3 linked regions of the Macaca mulatta genome follow. The protein of the gene in region 3 purifies or fractionates together with the protein of the main gene of each other region. This does not show direct contact. Links are inferred from orthologs where the notes say so. Each region holds a gene or a part of one and is shown on either strand. Other genes may lie near its edges. The genes, in order: MED8, MED19 and CDK8.

Evidence for each region.
Region 1: the proteins of CDK8 (region 3) and MED8 purify together in Homo sapiens (affinity purification with mass spectrometry; 7 studies listed by BioGRID and IntAct, counting the BioPlex papers as one, with this or other methods). This does not show direct contact. The link is inferred for Macaca mulatta from reciprocal best matches to the Homo sapiens genes CDK8 and MED8.
Region 2: the proteins of CDK8 (region 3) and MED19 purify together in Homo sapiens (affinity purification with mass spectrometry; 8 studies listed by BioGRID and IntAct, counting the BioPlex papers as one, with this or other methods). This does not show direct contact. The link is inferred for Macaca mulatta from reciprocal best matches to the Homo sapiens genes CDK8 and MED19.

What each region holds. Positions count from the first base shown.
Region 1 is NC_133406.1:197,281,214-197,287,839, reverse strand, and holds the end of MED8 (mediator of RNA polymerase II transcription subunit 8), read right to left. Parts: exon of another isoform or gene 6,200-6,626; intron 5,378-6,199; coding exon 5,259-5,377; intron 4,604-5,258; coding exon 4,459-4,603; intron 3,955-4,458; coding exon 3,814-3,954; intron 3,627-3,813; coding exon 3,545-3,626; intron 3,183-3,544; coding exon 2,934-3,182; intron 2,062-2,933; coding exon 2,001-2,061; coding exon of another isoform or gene 1,997-2,000; exon of another isoform or gene 1,682-1,996; intron 1,509-1,681; coding exon 1,406-1,508; 3' UTR 901-1,405; downstream 1-900. UniProt on the Homo sapiens protein: Component of the Mediator complex, a coactivator involved in the regulated transcription of nearly all RNA polymerase II-dependent genes.
Region 2 is NC_133419.1:15,680,717-15,687,442, forward strand, and holds the start of MED19 (mediator of RNA polymerase II transcription subunit 19), read left to right. Parts: upstream 1-2,548; 5' UTR 2,549-2,581; coding exon 2,582-2,798; intron 2,799-6,726. Other genes in the region: TMX2 (thioredoxin-related transmembrane protein 2), read right to left, coding at 1,957-2,145. UniProt on the Homo sapiens protein: Component of the Mediator complex, a coactivator involved in the regulated transcription of nearly all RNA polymerase II-dependent genes.
Region 3 is NC_133422.1:6,466,064-6,472,689, reverse strand, and holds part of CDK8 (cyclin-dependent kinase 8), read right to left. Parts: intron 3,763-6,626; coding exon 3,622-3,762; intron 1-3,621.

The sequences.
Region 1 (6,626 bases), on a different chromosome or scaffold from region 3:
TACTAGACTGTATGGACCCCAAAGTGGGAGACACTCATGAGATATGTGTACCCCAAATGATTGTTTTGAGGATGGGGGATAAAAATGAGAGCATGCACTCCTACAGTGCTGAATGTAGAGGAGTCCCTCTAGAGGAAGGATTGTTTGCTTAGGGGAACAAGATGTAGGTGACATCCTGCATACGTTCCTGTTGGGGCAAGAGGACATTTCCATTCTTGGATGACAAGGAATCCATTTTAATAGTATGGCGGGGATGAAGTCAGTATTTGCCTGGGACACAAAAAAATCCTGCGGTTGGTGCTGTTCAATAGGAGGAAACCTTTTGGTGGAGTAAAGGGCAACAGTCACCAATAGACGCTCCAGGGGTTTCAGAGAAGCACAGCTCAAACTCTACCCAATATGCCAGTTAGCTTTGACATTTCCACTGGGAAGGGAAGAGGTGAGAAGATAGAGAACACCTCAGCAAGCTGATGAGTTGGAAGAGTTTAAGTAGGGAAAAGGTCTGTCTTTGCCTCAGAGCTGGTGACCAGACTCCCCTACTGCTATGTATTGTGGTCAGTGAGCTTTGTGGATACCATTCCTCGTCTTGATGGAATGGTAACAGATGTGACATCTGGGACCACTTTTCCAGTCCTTTGCTGCCACAGCCTGGCAGAACTTTGTTTGGCACTGAACAAATGCCAAAGCACCAGTGTGTGATAGAAGAGAACAGAAAAAAGGCAGCTGGAAGGTATGAGCAGGAGGGAAGTCGCAGGATTTTTAGATCAAAGCTAATTAAAGATATGAAAACTTTTTTATGGAGAGCAAATTAGAACTGCCTTGCAGCACTCTTGAAATTGCCTCTGATCCCTATGTAGTGCTCTCATAAATTACTGTCAGACAACCCTGAGCCAGTGAACATCAATTTAAATAACTTTATTCAGAGGAATCCTTTGGTCCACTTCTGCTGACTCAACCCCTGCCCATGCCGACAAACAAGTACTAAGAAAGGCAGATTAGCCTGAATGTCTAAATTCACTTTGTTCAACTTTATAAAAGCAGTGGGGGTTGCCCCCTCCCACCATCAATCTGGTTCACCATTTGGGCCACAGGCTTAGGGAAATGAAGGAAAGCCATCCTGGCCAGTCGAGAAACTGGGCACCATTATGAGGTCAACTAAACCCTGATGGCAGTGTGAAGTGCAATTCCCTTCTCCCTCCAAAATAAGAAACACGAGTCCAGGGGAAGGGGCTTTTTCATGTGCTAAGAAAAAACCCTTTCCCACATAGTCCTGCCTGGCAGAGCCACTTCCTGAGAAAGCCTCGTGTGATAAGGGTGGGGTAAAGAATAGGGGACTTTATGACTATTTGCCAGGTAAGAGCCAAGTTGGCTTTTCAGAGCATAGAAAGGACAGCAGGCCCAAGCTTCACCAGAGCTGTAGGCGGGCATTTTTTTTTTCTTCCTGACCCAGAAGCTTCTTCACCTTGCACCTTAGAGGGACAGCCAGAATGAAAACCAGGCAGGAGGGCCTGCAAAGACAGTGTGCCTCTAAGAACACAGAGGTTGCTACAGTTTTTGGCAGCATGAAATAAGCAAAGCCTTATTTGATCTTGTGTCCATCAGCTCACCATTGACATGAGGCAGTATCAGATCAGGGTAAGTTCTGGATCAAGGACTGTGGAGGGTGGTGGGGAGAAGGATCTGTAGAAACTATCATTTATTGAATACCCATTATTTCATATACTGTGCTAAGTGCTTTACATTCATTTCCTCATTTTAATCCTCACAACAACTCTATAAGGTAGGTATTATCACCATTTACAAATGAGAAACAGGCTCAGAAAATTAGGTCACTTGTCCAAGGTCACACAGCTAGTCAGTGGTGGAAGTGGGATTTGTCTGTTGCTGAAAGCCCATGTTCTTTTTATTGTACCCATCTAGGTGAGCCTTGAGCAAAAGATAATTTCACTGCCCAACTCTGCAAAGAGCACCAGGGAGTCGAGGTTGCCAGCCACACTCACCGCTGGTAGGGATGCATTGAAGCCGACTTGATGTTGGTTTTTATTCCACTTGGCATTTTCCCTGAAAGGAACATGAAGAAAGACATCTCAAGCAAGGTAAGACTTTCACGACAAATCAGAAATGTGGTATCTCAGGTTCCCTCTGTCACCTCCTTTATCATCTCAGAACCTCTGTAGCATCTGACCTTGTTTGACAAAGGTCAGAAGTATGGTTCTTCACCCAGCTCTCTCCCTGAAGGTGCCCAGGAGGAAAGAAGTGATATGGGAGAATAGTCTGTTCATCCACTCCTAGAAAAGATAGCTAAACCTGTGTGACCCCCATTTAATGTCACAGGTAAAAAGAGTACTTTCTCTCATTGTTTTTTTTTTTTTAATATCATAAGAACTGCAGAATCTTTGTTTTAATTGTCCCTTCTCCTAGACAGCTTGGAGGAAATAACTCTTCTAGCTGCCTCCATATAGACTATTCTAAAAATGAGTAGGAGAGAAAGCAGGAAGCCAAGAGCAAGAGAGGCATGATACAGAGAAAAGAATACATGTAGGACTGGAAAACTGGCCTGCGTGTCAATTCCTAATGCACCTACCAAACGGTCTTAAGATCTGACCACTGATTTCTCTACCTAAGAAGAGACACTGACAACATATCTAATACCAGAATAAATGGGACCGAAGGATAGTTGACACAGAGATGTGAGATGGAGATGGGAAATGAGAGCAGTTTCTGTTACTCAAAGTTCTTCCTCACTCTCTGGTGTCTATGCAGAGTCTCAAATGAGATTTTTTTACTTCTGAAAATTATTTCCTGGGTCACAGTGCAAAGGAGAAATGGAGAAAATCTCTAGGTCTAGAGATGCTGGAGGCCCAGATAATCTAGCTTATTCCCTCCAGCTCCCCTGCTCAAAGTCAACTTCCCTTCAACCCCTGCCACCTTACCTGGTTGACCTGCTTGAGCCATTTGTACCCCACTGAGCATTGGCTGCTGCTGGCTTGGAGCTCCTGCCATCTGCACCTGCTGTAATCCTGAGGTTCCTGCAAGGATCGTCCCAGCTCCTGGCTGGCCTGGCTGGCCAGGACCACTGCTGCCTGAAGGTCTCCAGTTAGACAGTCCTTTCCCAAAGGCAACAGCTGCCACCAAGGCATTAGTGTCTGTAGGGTTAAAGGTCTGCTTGTTTGGCCGGAGACCTGAAGAAAAAGTAAGTGGGGATCCTGAAGTATGTTTCTGATGCAGGACTGAACGTGGCAGCTGGAAGACCAGTATGAGTGCCAGGGTTTAGAGTTCTGAATTCAGCAGCATCTAGACTCCCTCACAGCCCATAAAAAGAGCCAGAGGACCCCCAAGCCTATCTCAGAATTCTCTCTTCTTACTTTGCCCATTTCCTCCACTGCTTCAGGGTTGGCCTTAAATACAAAAGGCTAACAGAATGGATGCAAACCCTAAAGCAGTTCACTCTTGTGTCCTAACTTCACTACTCTCGAAACAACCATTCCCATTCCAGTGATCTTATATACCTCTCCTTCTCTGTTTTGCCACCAGTCCACCATACCTCCACTCTCTGATTCTCGCTCCTCTTTGCTGATTTTCTCCAGAAGGTTTGAACACATTTTATTCAAGCTCTGGATCTGCTTCTGTAACACACAAATTTGTGCAGAGATTAGGGTAACTAGGAAACGATATGGACAAATTTATTCCTTGGGTTCTGCCAGAAGCAGCTTAGGTGCAACCAACTATGCATCCCTACTAGACAGGAATGGTAATGCCTAGCTTCTCATGATGGGATGGGGATGGGGCAGCAAGGCAGTGACTCAGTCCAACCTGGGCTGCATCTGCACCAATGCGGGCAGCATCTGTCGTCAGTTGCTTCTCCTGTTCTTCCACCTCAGGGTCAGGCTTGGTTCTCAGATGGTCAGGGACTACCTCATGGCTGAAAACGGGCACCCGTCCTTCAGTCTGCCGCTGCAACACACAGATTTTATTGATCCTACTATGCACTCCAAGAAGATTCTATCTGGCCTGATATACAGTCCCATCCACAGGCAAACAGTGCATTTTCAAGGAAAATACAACCTAAGACATAATATCTAGTTTCCTAGGACACAATCTCCTTTACTCCAGCCTTCATTTTTTGTGTCTTCTCACATCCCTATCTCTACCAGACCTAGAGGCAAATTAAACTATCACTGTCTGCCACGTTTCAAAGACTGAAACAGACAAAGTCACCAAAGGGCAGACTTTGTGGCTTGAGACAGATGTTGGAGAAGGAAGGTACCAGCCTTGGTGACATACCCCTCAGGTTATTACAACACTATTTGGGAGTGGCTCTCCCACCTTCAGAAGAACAAAAAGCAAGGCCTCCAAAATTATTTCTAAGTTCTCAGCTAAGAACTTAATTTCCCTAAATAGTAAAGAAGCCTAAAAAACTCCTTAATTTCCCAAGTTGTATTCTTTTTCTGCTCTTACCATGAGATCTTCATCTCGGTCTGGAGACAACACCAGAGGGATGATGACCTGGTTACGGAACAGCGGTGTTTTTTCATGCTTCAAGACCTTGTTCAGAGTGTTCAACTGTCCAGAAAGCAAGGCAAAGCTGTCCAGGACAGATGGCCTGTTGGCAGTAAGCAGGTGTCAGAATGTTCCACCCCTTCCTTGGGTGGTTCTTAGTAAAATAGTCCTAGTTCCTTCAGGCTAGGAACACTCGGATTTATCCCCAAAAGTCTCATAGCCCTATGACTAGCCTAAGTGGGAAGAAACTAACAAGGATGACAGGGTTATGAAAGAGGGACATAGTTTCAGTTTATGAAACAGATGTAGAAAAAATCCAGTTCATTGTTTGAATGAGGTGAGGAACAGTGGCAAAATAGGACTATACTGTTATAACTAAAACTTCAGAAACCCGGTAAAATCCTTCTTTCCAGCCTGGAAATAGGATCCACACTTCAGAGTAGGTTGGATCTAAAGGACTCAGCCATATTTGTGGCAAGAGATCCAGCACAAATAGAGCTGTAATAGGAGGACCTCCTCACCAGAGAAGTCAAAGGGTAAGAATTGAAAGCTATAATGAACTTGGGTTAGGAAACCGAGCATTTCTCTACTTCCTTGCCATGGAAGCCACTTGCTAAATGTTACGAAACCCAGCTCTTTCCAAATCAAAAGATGTTTGTAAACTGATAAATGGTTACATCATTAGAAGTGTCCTATTCATCAGAAGGCTAGGCCCCCCCACCCATAAGCCCTCCCTAGCTTGCCCTGGCAACCCTTACCAGGTCAGCCGGCCATACTCGTTCTCCAACTTGCAAATGAAACTTCCCAGTGAGTTCTTCAGATCAGCCACTTGACTCAGCAGTGCATCTAATGATGCCTCAAGCTGCTTCTCCTCTCTCTGCACCAATAGGAACAGGTTGGTTACCCAGATAAACGAGTATGACACATAGAAAGGAGGGCTGAAAAGCCAAGGAGATGGTGTGCAAACACCAGTCAGGTAACAGGATCTCATTGGCATAGGATAACCAGGTTGTTTCCTATCTGTGGTATTTGGGTTATAGACAGCATCAACCCTGAGACCTTTCAACCGTTTGCCTGACCCAAGTACTTCCACCAACTGATTCCTTTTTCCCATCCGCTCCTAATCTATGCCTGGTTTTTCTCTGTATTAGGTACACCCTACACTCCCTCATTGAGACATTTTCGACAAACCTAATGCCAGATCATTATCTCATGTGCACCTCTGTAGCACATGCACTCCAGCTTCCTCCATCCTAGCATTTGTGAGCCTGGCTCTCTTGTCAGTCTCTGGGAAATCTGCCTACTCATGAAGACTTCTCTGAATACCAGCCCTGCTCTCCTCTTTCCCTCCCCCCACCAACCACTCCAGCTTTCCATCTGCTCTCATCATTTCATGTTTCAACCTTCTCCTCGCTGAATTAATATGCACCCATCTATCTCTGTGTCAATATTCCCGTGCCTCTTTCACAAGCTCGGTCAACCCAATAACATTTCTTGAGACTACCAGCTGCAGGAAACTAAGTGACAAATGAAAACCAAAACCGCACATGCTTCTAAGCACTGAACAAACAAATTAAAATGCCGGGGGTCTGCAAAGCATTTCCTTCCCATCGGTGGTATCCTGTTTTATTCCATTTCTTCACCCTTAACAACTATAGGGCACAGGCTGGGAAGAGTGATGCAAAACTGTCTTGCAAACCTGCTAAGGTGCCTGACAGGAACTTGATCCTGGGTTCCACCATGGCCTCACATTACAAGCTGCTTAGCTTTCGGACACCGCGGCCCACAATTCCCTCACTGCTTGGGCTTCTTTCCAATTAGATCCCCTGCTATATCGGCATCCAACAGCCTCCATCCAGCAGCTTAGGACAGGGCCTGAGCCAACCCACCACCTCCTGAGCCGTCTTCCTTGGACTGCATCTCGGCCTCCCCGTATTACAACCTAATCCTTTCCCACGCCAAGCAAGTCAGTGCTGCCTCCTCCCTCCGGATTTAGCCCGACCGCCTTCTGTCAGGCGAGCTCCACCCCCACCTCTCATCTGCGCCGCTCCCTCTCCAATTAACCTCGCCCCCCAACCCACGTTCCCTTATCAGCCGTGGGTTCTGCCCTCTCTTCTCAGTCCCAA
Region 2 (6,726 bases), on a different chromosome or scaffold from region 3:
TTAAAAATTAGCCAGGTGTGTAGTGCATGCCTTTGGTTCCAGCTACCTGGGAGGCTGAGGTGGCAGGATGGCTTTGCCCAGGAGGTTAAGACTACAGTGAGCCATGATCACACCACTGCACTCCAGCTTGGATAACAGAGCAAGATCTTGTCTCAAAAAAACCCCAAAAAACTAAAAACCCTGCCTTTTTCCTAAGGCCTTATCAGCTAAAGCTAGTCAACTTGTCTTTGAAAAAAAAAAAAATCACCGTAACATCTTATATTTGGACAAACTTTACACACAACCTACAATCTAGGAAAATAAATTGCTATTGATCTTCCCAACTGACTGCCCTCCAGACTCTAAAGAAACTAGTTTATACGCTATACCAGATATTAAGCTTTGCCTTGTTCCATAGATATGTCTCTCTTATTAAATCTGTTTGCCTACATCATGTATAGAAGACTAGCTTTGAGAACTCATCTACAATGCCATCTCCTGAAAGGAGACACAGAAATTTAACTGAACTGGCCTATCCCCCAAAATGAGAGACTGGTTTAATGGGATCCTTTGCCGCTCAATTACTAGCCCAATTTCTCTCTCCACAGACACCAACTCAGCTTTTATAGGGAAACTTCTAAGGAAGTTTCAGACAAAGGAAATAAAGGAGACCAGGGACTCACAGCCCAAAATATGGCATCCTGTATGCTAATTATTTTAAATTAAAGGTCCCTGGATACCAGCAGATACTGGAAGCAGCTTTACTCTGATAACTACCTTATCTGCCTAAAGTCCAGACCTGTCAAAGAAGAAAACAATTACTTCTGGTCTCTTCCCTGAGTTTTCATTAACTTAACTCATAGTACAGGAAGAAAGACTGAAGCCTGTCAACACACCCGGACAGATTTTTGTCAGAAACCACTGTCTGCTTTGCAGGCCCAACAGTCATTGTCCCACGCCACTGTATGTTCTCCAGGCCACTGAATCACCCTAAAAGTCATTTACAATCCACCTTAAAATCACCCACATTTCCCCATCTCCCATACTCCTATGAAGAAGGGTATATAAGCCTCTGTACCCCACTGGGTCATTCTCCTTCAATTCCCTCATGCTATGCACGTTAAAATAAAATTTCTGTGCCTTTCTCCTATTAACGTGCCCTTTGTCGGCTGATTTTTCAACAAACCCTCAGAGAGCTAAGGGGAAGCTTTGCCTTGGCCCTTACATGCTATATAGCAGAGGGTAAAGTGCTTTAAGTTCATGTTCTGAGCAGTCCCTCCACCCATTCCAAGGAAGCACAGCAAGGAGCTTGGGACACTTCTCAAAGAAAGCCCAAAGATTTCTTTACAACTTATTTTTTACAATTCCTTTACAGTAGCCCCAAAATTTTATCCACTTTCGCATCCTCAGGATCAAGCAGAGTGCCTAGAGTGTACACTCTAGAAATGCTGATTGAATTAAGAAACGGCTGACAGTGTGTGCAGGTAGTGTGGCCACAAGAATAGTTTCAAGTCCCAGGCACTCATTAGTTGCATGACCTGGGGCAAGTCGCCTAAATATACCAAGATCCATTCCTTCACCAATGAAACAGGACTACTACTACTTGCCTTCCCTACCTTACTGGCTCCTCAGGAGGCTTTACATAATGAGCGGCACTGTAAGATGCTATACACGTATATGTACAGTTTTGACAGGGCTGTTTCTTAGTCTAAATGGTGAAATGGAAAGAAACCTGGACTCAACAGTCAGAAGCTGTTGGGCCGTTGTACAGGGCTACGACTAACAGGTTCCGTTTTCCCATATTAAACACAAAGTTTAGTCTCGACGATGTTTCGGACTCTGCACTTTACAGTCTGTTAAATCCGCTACAGGCTCGGAACCTCAGGTGTCCTCAGAAAGGTAAACCCCAGGGTTCCCAGATGCACCTGCAAGGGCAGGGACAGTCAAGGTCGCGGTACTGAGACGCGGGACGCTCACCCAGTCAAAGTCACACGGGTTACCGTCTTCGCGTTGGGTGGGCAAACCGTGGCAGAGTGGCGGCAGTTTCCTCACGAGTAGGAAGGCAGCAGAGAGCAGGGCCGACAGAAGGTAGTAAGGTTGGGCAAGCCATCGTGAAAGTCGCGGCACCGAATACACCAGAGCAATTAGAGGAGCCAAGACCGCCATCTTTTCGGCCGCAAGGGCCACTGCTCACCGGCGTCGTAGGTCCGGCCCCGCCTCCCCCACCATAGCGACTGCTATTGGGCTACATCTCAAACGTACGGCCTCTAAACCCGGATGTAGTTCTGTCAACGCTGTGGTATGTCAGAACCCAAAAAAGAACTTAATATCTTATTGGTTGGTCTAGCTGTCGCTTTATCAGCTTAAGTCATTTTATTGGACTGTAGCTAACGTAGCTAGCAGAAGACTCTAATAAGGTTAAATAGCACTTCCTGAACGTTCTCAGAGAGCGACGGAAGTAGTTGTTGAAACAAGGTAGGCGGTGCCTGAGGCATCCAATGACAAGCGGTTCCTTGAGAAAGAGGTGGGTATTCCTTAAAGGCATTGTCCAATGAAAATTACCAACGCCAGACACCGAGACAGCGCCGGGGCGGAGGGGACGATGGAGAATTTCACGGCGCTGTTCGGGGCTCAGGCTGACCCACCACCGCCCCCAACCGCACTAGGCTTCGGACCAGGAAAGCCTCCACCCCCGCCACCGCCTCCTCCGGGCGGGGGACCCGGCACGGCTCCGCCTCCCACCGCGGCCACGGCCCCTCCCGGCGCGGACAAGTCAGGAGCTGGCTGTGGCCCTTTTTACCTCATGAGGGAACTGCCAGGTGAGTACTCGGCCTTGCCAAAGCCAGCCAATCAAATCTTAGAGAGGAGGTGTTGGGCGTGGCTCTCAGCCGGCTAACGGAGGTGCGAGGTAACCTAGGCAACGCATACCCGGACTGTGGAGCCCTAAGTCGAAAGGGCTATTAGGATTCACAAGCAGAGGGATGAGTTGAATTCAACCAAAGGGATGAATGGCGGGGAGCGGGGTGGTGCATCTCCGTGACTGTCTTTTGCACCATGTCCAGGCTGTGTTCCTGACACTGGTTTATGTCTCCCTAAAAAATGATCTAGGGCTGGGCGCAGTGGCTCACGCCTGTAATCCCAACACTCTGGGAGACGGAGGCGGGCGAATCACCTCAGGTCAGGAGTTCGAGACCAGCCTGGCCAACATGATGCAACTCTGTCTGTACTAAAAACACAAAAATTACTTGGGCGTGGTGGCGTATACCTTTAATTCCAGCTACTCGGAACCCGGGAGGCGGAGGTTGCATTGAGCCGAGATTGCTCCACTGCACTCCAGCCTGGGCGATAGAATGAGACTCCGTCTCAAAACAAAAACAAACAAACAAAAAATCAAGAGTTTGAGTTTGGAACTCGAGAGGCCTGATTTAATATCTTTGGGGACCTAAAGTTTTAGTTACAAGTCTCCCACAGACTTGCTGTGGGTTTGGGGCAAGTTGCCACTCTTCCAAGATTTCTGCGTTTCCTGGTGTCATCAAAGAAGGGGTAAGAATCGAACCAAACTCTTTTCATTCAAAAAATTATTTTGTTGAGTACCTATGTACCAAGCACTTTTCTAAATGCTGGAGATACAGTTGTGAACAAGACTGACAAGATGCTTGCCTTTTTTGGAATGTACATTTCAGTGTAGGAGGCATTGTAAACAAGATAATGTCAGAGAGTGGTTAATGCTAGGAAGAGAAAACATTATAAAAAATTGAAGGTGGCCAGGCGCATTGCTCACGCCTGTAATCCCAGCGCTTGGGTAGGCTGAGGCAGGAGGATCCTTTGAGCCCAGGAGTTTGAGACCAGCCTGGGCAACATGGCGAGACCCAGTCTCTACAAAACATACAAGATTAGCCGGCCGTGGTAGTGCTTGCCTGTAGCCCCAGCTACTCAGGAGACTAAGGGAGGAGAATTGCTTGAACACAGGAGGTCCAGGCTGCAGTGAACCAAGATTGTGCCACTGCACTCCAGCCTAGGCAACAGATGAGACCCTGTCTCTTAAAAAAAAAATTGAGGGGCAGAACTACTTTAGCTAGAGTGGCCAGAGATGCTCTCTCCACATAGCTAAAATTTGAACTAAAATGTAAGCATAGACAAAGGGCCAGCCAGCTATGGACAGGAGGGAGAGATAATTCTAGATACAGGAAATGAGGTCAGAAACCCTGATGTGAGAAAAAGCTTAGAATATCTGAGGGACAGAAAATCAGTTGGACTCCAGTGAAGTGAACAAAAGGAAAGAGTGTTAGGAGAGAGATGAAGCTGGGAGAGTTAGGCAGAGGCTTTTATAAAGCAATAAAGGCATTTAGATTGTAAATACAAAAGGAAGCCATTTAAAACAATTTTTTATAGAGACAAGGTCTCACTGTGTCACCCAGGCTGGACTGCAGTGGTACAGTCATAGCTCACTGTAACCTCCAATTCCTAGGCGCATGCTGTCCTCCCACCTCAGCCTCCCAAGTAGCTAGGACTGCAGGCATGTGCCACCACAGTTGGCTAACTTAAAAATTTTTTGTAAAGACTGGGTCTTACTGTGTTGCCCAAGCTGGTCTTGAACTCCTGGCCAATGACAGTCCTCCCACCTTGGCCACCCAAAGTGCTAGGATTATAGGCCTGAGCCACTGTGCCCAGCCAAGGAAAGCCATTTTAACATAGGAACTTGGTCAAATGTACTTATTTAGAGAAGTAAATGGATACAGGGTGTTAGATGTAGAGCTGACAGGGTTGAAAAGCTGAATATAGAGCCAGGTGCTGTGGCTAACGCCAGTAATCCCAGCACTTTGGGAGGCTGAGGTGGGAGGACTGCTTGAGCCCAAAAGTTTGAGACCAGCCTGGGCAATATAATGAGACCCCATCTCTACAAAAAATAAAAGTAAATTAGCTAGGGATAGCAGCGTACACCTGTAGTCTCAGCTACTTAGGAAGCTGAGGTGGTAGAATCACTTGAGCCCAGGAAGTTGAGGCTGCAGTGAGCTGTGATTGTGCCACTGTGCTCCAGCTTAGATGATAGAGGAAGAAGCTGTCTCAGTTAAAAATACATATTGTATATAGAAGTGAAGGAGATAGAGGAATTGATGCCTTTTTAAGTTTTCAGCTTGAATAATTGGGTGTATGGGTACGAGACTTGGAAGATGAGGAAGGAACAAGTTTGAAGAGGTGGAAATCGAGTTGTTTTGGACATGTTTGGTCTCCAAGATGCTGCCTTTCTCTCTCTTTTTTTTTTTTTTTTTTTTTTCTCCTGAGACAGAGTTTTGCTCTTGTTGCGCAGGCTGGAGTGCAATGGCGCAATCTCGGCTCACTGAAACCTCCGCCTCCCAGGTTCAGGCGATTCTCCTGCCTCAGCCTCCCGAGTAGCTGGGATTACAGGCATGCGCCCCCACACCCAGCTAGTTTTTTATTTTTAGTAGAGACGAGGTTTCTCCCTGTTGGTCAGGCTGATCTCAAACTCCCAACCTCAGGTGATCCACCCACCTTGGCCTCCCAAAGTGCCAGGATTACAGGTGTGAGCCACCACGCCTGGCCTCCCAGATGCCTTTCATTGTCTCAAGTCTTAGTTCCGCATCATGACTTGAGGGAAGTAGCGACAGATATTGGTATGGTACTTCAAAGTTCACAACACATATGAAGTAGTATTTAATACTTAGAATAGCCCTTTGAGGTAGCATTATTATCTACATTTTATAATTGAAAAAACTGAAACATGGAGAAGTTGACATCCCTTTGATTAGTTAGTGGTTGATGTCCACCAGCAGTTTCCTTTAATCTTTCTTTTGCCTTCCCTATTCTGATTGTAGCTATTGGTATCAGTCAGTTGACAGATTGAATATCTGTTCTGGGCAAATGCTGGGTGTATGAGGAGGGTGAGATGGAGAGAGAGATTAGTAATGCTGGTCATTGCTTTTCAAGGAGATTAGTTAGGAATGTAAAATTTGTGGTTTAAGGATAGTGACTATATTTCCTGTCAACTCCATCTCATTTTGTGCTCATGCCTCACAACAGCAATTAACAATATCTTAGCCATCAATATTAAGAACTATCTAATGGTTTTCAAAGTGTGTTGCTATCCAAAATGACAGTAAGAATAAAATGTCACTTGAGCTAGACCTTGAATAATTCATGTTGGTGAAGAAAAATTAGGAAGAATTTTCCTAAAATGAAATAATGTGAGGGGTGTGTTTTTGAGGCGATAGGGAGATTCATTTGGACGGATCAGAAATTTTGCATAGAGGAGTAGTGGTTGATGAGGCCCCAAAGCTAAGTTGGAGTAAGATGTAATTAGCCTTGAGTGCCAGTCAAAAGGAATTTGAGTGTTCTCCTGAGGGCAAAAAGAAACCATTAAGATTTGTGAACCGAGGAGTACTGCTTTCCAAAAATATCTGGAACATGTGGGTGCCGTGGATTGAAATAGAGAAGCCATGAGTGATGTTGGCAAGTTTGGAATTTCAAAACGAAAAAAAATTTTTTTTTTTTTAATCTTGTTGGGCAGGGTGGTTCATGCCTGTGATCCTAGCACTTTGGGAGGCTGAGGCAGGCAGATTGTTTGAGTCTAGGAGTTCAAGACCAGTCTGGGCAACATAGGGAGACCCCTGTCTCTACAAAAAGTATAAAAATTAGGCCGGGCGCGGTGGCTCACGCCTGTAATCCCAGCACTTTGGGAGGCCGAGACGGGTGGATCACAAGGTCAGGAGATCGAGACCATCCTGGCTA
Region 3 (6,626 bases):
GTGATGATTAATAGCAACCAGATAAATCGTTATTTATTAAATAGGATTGTTAATTTTAAAAGCTCAACTATACATATCAAAGAACTTCATAACTCTACCATCTCAAACCAGTATTTCTATTAATTAATAAAGCCAATTTTATTAAACAAAAACATCAATAACATTCCAGAGTATTATTAAAATGGTGTTTTTAGGGTGTCTGTGCCAATTATCCACCTTAATATGAAGTTTCTTGTGGCATGTCAGCACCTCAACCAACTGGTCCAATTCATAGCATTAGAAGTCTATGAAGAGAGTTAAGGTCAGCATTGTCACATTTGATCTAAATCTGACTAAACAGGAGTAAAGAATATAATGAACTATTAATTTTTGTTTGGATAGGGTAAATATTTCATATGCAACTAACAACAAATATTTGAGAAGAACAAGTTAAAAAAAATTATGTTATATAGCTTCTGAACAATGTTCTTTTTTTTTCTTTTTGAGACGGAGTCTCGCTCTGTCACCCAGGCTAGAGTGCGGTGGCACAATCTCGGCTCACTGCAACCTCTGCCTCGCGGGTTCAAGTGATTCTCTTGCCTCAGCCTCCCAAGTAGCTAGGATTACAGGCATGTGCCACCATGCCCGGCTAATTTTTGTATTTTTAGTAGAGACGGAGTTTCACCATCTTGGCCAGGCTGGTCTCGAACTCCTGACCTCATGATCCACCCACCTCAGCCTCCCAAAGTGCTGGGATTACAGGCGTGAGCCACCGCGCCCGGCTGACCAATGTTCTTGAGAGTTAATATGATATTACTACATATATTAGAATCAAATGTAGCTATTGTTCAAACACTATAAACGTTAAAACTTTAAAGCTTTTTCAGTTGGCAGGAAGGTGCTCACATTTTAAAATGTACATATATGGTAAATGAGTTTTTCCTTCAGAATTTGAAAGGTGGGCATCTGAACCAGTAGGATCTAGGTTAGAGGCAAAGGCTGTCATTTTCATGAAACAATGGTTCAGTGGATTTCTGTGTGCCTGAGATACACAGAAGAGACAGACGTTTATAAAGAATACTAAGAAGTCATGCACAGAAAATACGGAAAATCTCACTCAAATATGGAAATCAAAGAAGATAGCAGTAGACACCGCAGAACTTTTTGGATTAATAAACTTTAAATAATGGCAAGAGGGATGGAGGAGTAAGAGTGATTTGCCTCACTGTAGAGAAATACTTTATTACTGAAATTGTTCAGAATTGTCAGCATATGGTGACAATAAAAAGCAACTAACTTTTAGTATGCTTTATTATTATTTTTAAATCACCTACAGACAATGCATCCCTTGTTGCCTATATTAGGGGGCACCGATCCTTCCACTCTCCACCACTTAGTACACCACTAACAGAGCCTTCTGAAATGATCGGTTCTACACTGACCCTATGTCAAAGAGAATCTACTTAAGGTGCATTAGTAGGAAGAGCTTTACCATAAGAGAGATAAAAGAAACTTGGTATCATAATTTTCACTACTATACTTAATACTACTCTAAGTGGCTTAAGTATATTTATATTATTACATGAAATTTAAATATTGGTTTTAAAAATCAGTCTGTATTTACCTAATATGCATACATACTTCAAGTGAAAAGAATAATTTACAAGAAAAAGAAAATGTAGAGCTATCTTAGCATAACTGACTCGATGGGGAAAAACATGTCCTTTAGCCACAGTTTTTTCTTTTAGACATCATAAAAAGGATGGGTAGCTCAAAAGTAGAAATGTTTTTCCCTAATTTGACTCCACCACAATGGCCAAAATTTATTTTCAGCTTCATAAAATGCCAAAGGATTTGTCTGATTTCTGTTATGTAAATCTATTTTTTGTTTTGTTTTGTTTTTAAGAGATGGAGTTTCACTCTGTCGTCCAGGCTGGAGTGCAGTGGTGCCATCTTGGCTCACTGCAACCTCCGCCTCCCACGTTCAAGTAATTCTCTGCCTCAGCCTCCAGCGTAGCTCGGATTACAGGTGCCTACCACCAAGCCGGCTAATTTTTTGTATTTTTAGTAGAGACAGGGTTTCACCATCTTGGCCAGCCTCATCTTGAACTCCTGACCTTGTGATCCACCCTGCCTCAGCCTCCCAAAGTGCTGGGATTATAGGCACGAGCCACCGCGCCCGGCCTGTAAATCTATTTTTATAAGTAAAATATTCTAACTCTATTAAAAATAAAAGCTTGCATAAAGAAACAAGTCCAACCAAATTTCTGCTGTGTTATTGGTCCTAGTCTAAATGCTTTGTAGGTACGAGAACTGGAGATAAAGTAACTAACTAACATTAAATGTGCTACAAGGCAATTTCCTAAAGCTAGAAGAAAGAAGTAGAAACTATGCCACTGGAACAGCACATTTGAAGGCCAGAGACTAAGCTCACTAAATTTGTGAAGAACATCTTTGCGAGAGACCAGATGGGCTCCGCCTCATGGCCTACAGGATATTTCCTTTGTATACAGGTGATTAGAGACAAAATCATCACTTTCAGCATTGTGTTTATATTTGTTTGAAATGACGGTGCTGTTATAAATCTTATTATAGTTACTATCTTTACAAAGAAAAGAACTATAAAAGCAATGTAATTATGTAGTAAGAAAGGGCAATTTGAAGTTTAGGTAACTGAAATCCATGAAAATTTAATGAATAATAATATGCTAGATCAGCAGTCCCCAATCTTTTTGGCACCAGGGATCAGTTTCATGGAAGACAGTTTTTCCACACAGTGGGGTGGGAAGGGATGGTTTCAGTATGTAACTGTACCACCTCAGATCATAAGGCATTAGATTCTCATAAGGAGTGTGCAGTCTAGAACCCCTGCATGTGCAGTTCACAATAGGGTTCTGGCTCCTATGAAAATCTAATGCTGCCACTGATCTGACAGGAGGCTGAGCTCAGGTGGTAATGCTCACCCACCGCTCACCTCCCGCTGTGTGGCCTGGTTCCTAATGGGCCATGGACTGGTCTGTGGCCTGGGGGCTGGGTACCCCTGTGCAAGATGGGTGAAAAAAGGCATAAATGACTTTGACACATTAAATAAAAAGTCAGTTTCTTCCGTTTTTAAATTCTTAAAACTTCAATGTACCTGAATACAGCAAGGTTTCTAATAATATACTTCAATTACGATTAATAAAGGCTATTGGCCAACAGACTGCTACTAACATAGAGGGGCTTAAAATATAAGCATACTGAATTAACATTTTCCTTTTCTAATATGTAAATAAGTATGCAGTAGGCTCCAAAAGTTTTACCTTCAAGTTATTATAAATATATAAATTTCTACAGTTTGCCTTGCATCTAATAATCAATGTGAAGCAAGCTAATGCTTTATTTATGAACTTAAAAGGAAACAGAAGCTTAGGAAAACAAATGTGTCTTATTTCACTTCAAAATAAATACCATCTAGTGTATGTCAAAGAAGCAGGATGAATTCTATAAAAACACTACTAGGCCATTTTTTGAGAATGTAGCGTTCTCACTACCTCTATAAGGTTTGCAGGCCTACATATAGCACTGGTATCTACAGACAACTAGAAAAGTATCCAACTGTAATGCATCTTTCTAGTTTAAACCAATTACAGATCAACTTACCAAATCTCTGTGCAACACCCAGTTAGCATGCAGGTAGTGAATACCATCTAGGATCTGATACAATAGTGACTTCACCATTCCCCGAGGTAACTGAACTGGCTTCTTGTTTGCTTTAGAAGCTCTGTGAAACTTGATTATATGCTGAAAGAAAGAAAAAATATCACCAGAAGCTTAAAAAAAAGGAAAAGATCATTTGATATGTAATATTTTCCTAACAGAAAAAGAAACACTCAGGGATTCCCACAGATATTGAAAATACAATTTCATACTCTGCTGAATAACATAAACAACTTTAAAATTCCCTAATAACTGCAGCTAAAATTCCATTTCCTAAGCATATGACAGCATTTCAGGAAATACATTATCACAACAAGGAATTAGGAAATACTGTGCTTTTATTTTTACAGCATAATTAAAAATCAATTACTTTCAGAGTATATTTGATTCCTGTTTATCTGGTAGATACAATGAAAAAAAAAAAACAAAGTTCAAGAGATACTTCTGGCTGGCTGACATGGTATAGAATGAGAACCTATTTATAACATAGGTTATAAAGAAAGCAAGTGGGGAGATGCTTCAATAAAATAACACAAGCACAAAGAAATGACATACCAGTTCACAGGGAAAAATGGAAAAATATGAAAGATTCTGAGGGAAAAAAAAATGCCTTGTACCATCCATCAAAGCTTTCTATGTATAATGTTGTTGGACATCCAGTAAAACAAAGCACAACTTTATACATAGAAAAATTACTTTATAAATGAATGTGCCTTACAAGTTTTTTTTGAAAAGTTTCAAATGCTCGTGATAGGAGGACTCATTTTCTTAATTGGATCACTTTTAAACTGCAGGAAAATCTGTAACTTGGCTGTAGTCAACTATGCCTTGCACACCATTGTACATATCCCTGAACCTAATATTGCACAGAGCAGACCCTCGGCCAATATATGTAAGTAAATATTAAGCATGTTCTTGAAATCAGTAAACATAATAAAAATAAGAGATATTTAACATTATAAGTTAACATTTTCACTTGCTATTTTCTTATGATACACAGAATATAATACAAGTAAGGAATAACTAATGATTAATGAGTAAAGGAGCTTTACTCTCCAAGGAAAAATAGATAGCAAGTACCCACGAGAAGGTAAAGTGTAGCAGTTTGCACCTATGTAGTGTGACTAATCTAAATGAGCAGCATTAACCGACTTTAATTTTCCTCTCAGTCTTTTTTTCAAGGTATTTAATAGCAGGCAAACAAAACAGAGCTACAACAATTTAATATCTAGACTGTTTTGTCACCTGTCCTAAAATATGATGTGACAATCAAGTCTGTTCTCCTTAAGATTCTTGGGCCGGGCGTGGTGGCTCACGCCTGTAATCCTAGCACTTTGGGAGGCCGAGGTGGGCGGATATGTAGGAGAGGTAAGGTAATTAATCAATTTCATATATATTTCTTCATGTACACTTTATTAGAGTATTACAAGTGATTTCTTTTACCAATATTTTAAAATGACAAACCCTACTGTCATCTTCTTTATATTCCAGGGCTACATAACAAATGCAAAGTACACATACCATGAAATCTCACCAATGCTTAAGTGATTTTTAAAAATAACTATTTTTATCGCAACTGCCTTGTTACCCTCTGCTGCCTAACCCCTACCAATTCACTTCAACATTCCAATTAAAATAGATAAAGGAGTGGGCTTTAGTAGGCTAAATTATCGTTTGTTTTTAATGAAAATGAACATTAAAAATAGTTATTTGGCTTAAATATTATTAAGATGATGATAAAGCTAATGAACTATTTATATACACTGTACAATATTACATGCAATAAAATTTGTTAAAGTATAATCATTGTACCTACATGTAAAATTAAATATTACAAACTAGCAGCTAGAAATCACATTGAGTGAAATATTATACTATCTTCTACGCTCTACCGTGGTTTATCACAAATCTTGTTTATGAACCAGCCTGGAAAATGCCTTAAGTTTAAATTATATGACTTCATTTCTTATGAGGCTCAGTATGGTGAGTGTTCAATTTAATACTGGCCACGCTGATTTAACAGGGTTGATACGATTAGACTTATTTTAAAATAGAAGAACAGAAGAACCAAAGATTAAAAAAAGACGAAAAAATTAATAATCAGCATGAACTTTCAAAAGAGTTTCATAAAAGAGAGAAAATTTCATGTGTACAAATTAAAAAGCATGGCCATGCTAACTTAGTAAATATAGATTAGTATGCAAATCAATACAATGTTTAAAGACATTATTAAATATCATTAAAAACCCAGTACACAGGAGTAAAGTAATTCTTAATGAATTAACACAAGGTAATGTTAGAGGTTTGGTTTACTTGTTTCTTAAACTATAATCTGTATTAACAGATGTTCTTTATACAGATTGGTAAGAATGTAATTGTGAATATGTTTCAAAATTACTTTGGCTATCCTGTTATAGATTTTCTATATATATATGTATATAATATATATATCTCAGTCTTATCTGCAAGGTAACGTTTCAGATTTTTTTTAAAACATAAATGTTATATTTAACAAAACAGCAAATTTCATAGTTACCTAAGAGTTCCTCAAATACCAATTTAAAAAATAATCTGCTTAGTAAACTGCAAAATACTGAGGCTGGTGTTTGAATTTCAGCTACTTAGACAAGATTAATTTAAGTTCTTATTTTACAGTAATTTTTTTCAATATAGCATCATTTTCTGCATTGCATTAGATAAACTAATAAACTGGTTGGGCTCAGTGGCTCAGGCCTGTAATCCCAGCACTTTGAGAGGCCGAGGTGGGCAGATCACCTGACATCAGGAGCTAAGAGACCAGCCTGGTCAACATGGTGAAACCCTGTCTCTACCAAAAATACAAAACTTAGCCGGGCTGGAGTGCAACAGTGTGAACAGGACCCACTGCAGCCTCGACTTCCTGGGCTTCAGTCCCATGAACAGCTGGGACCACAAGTGTGTGCCACTGA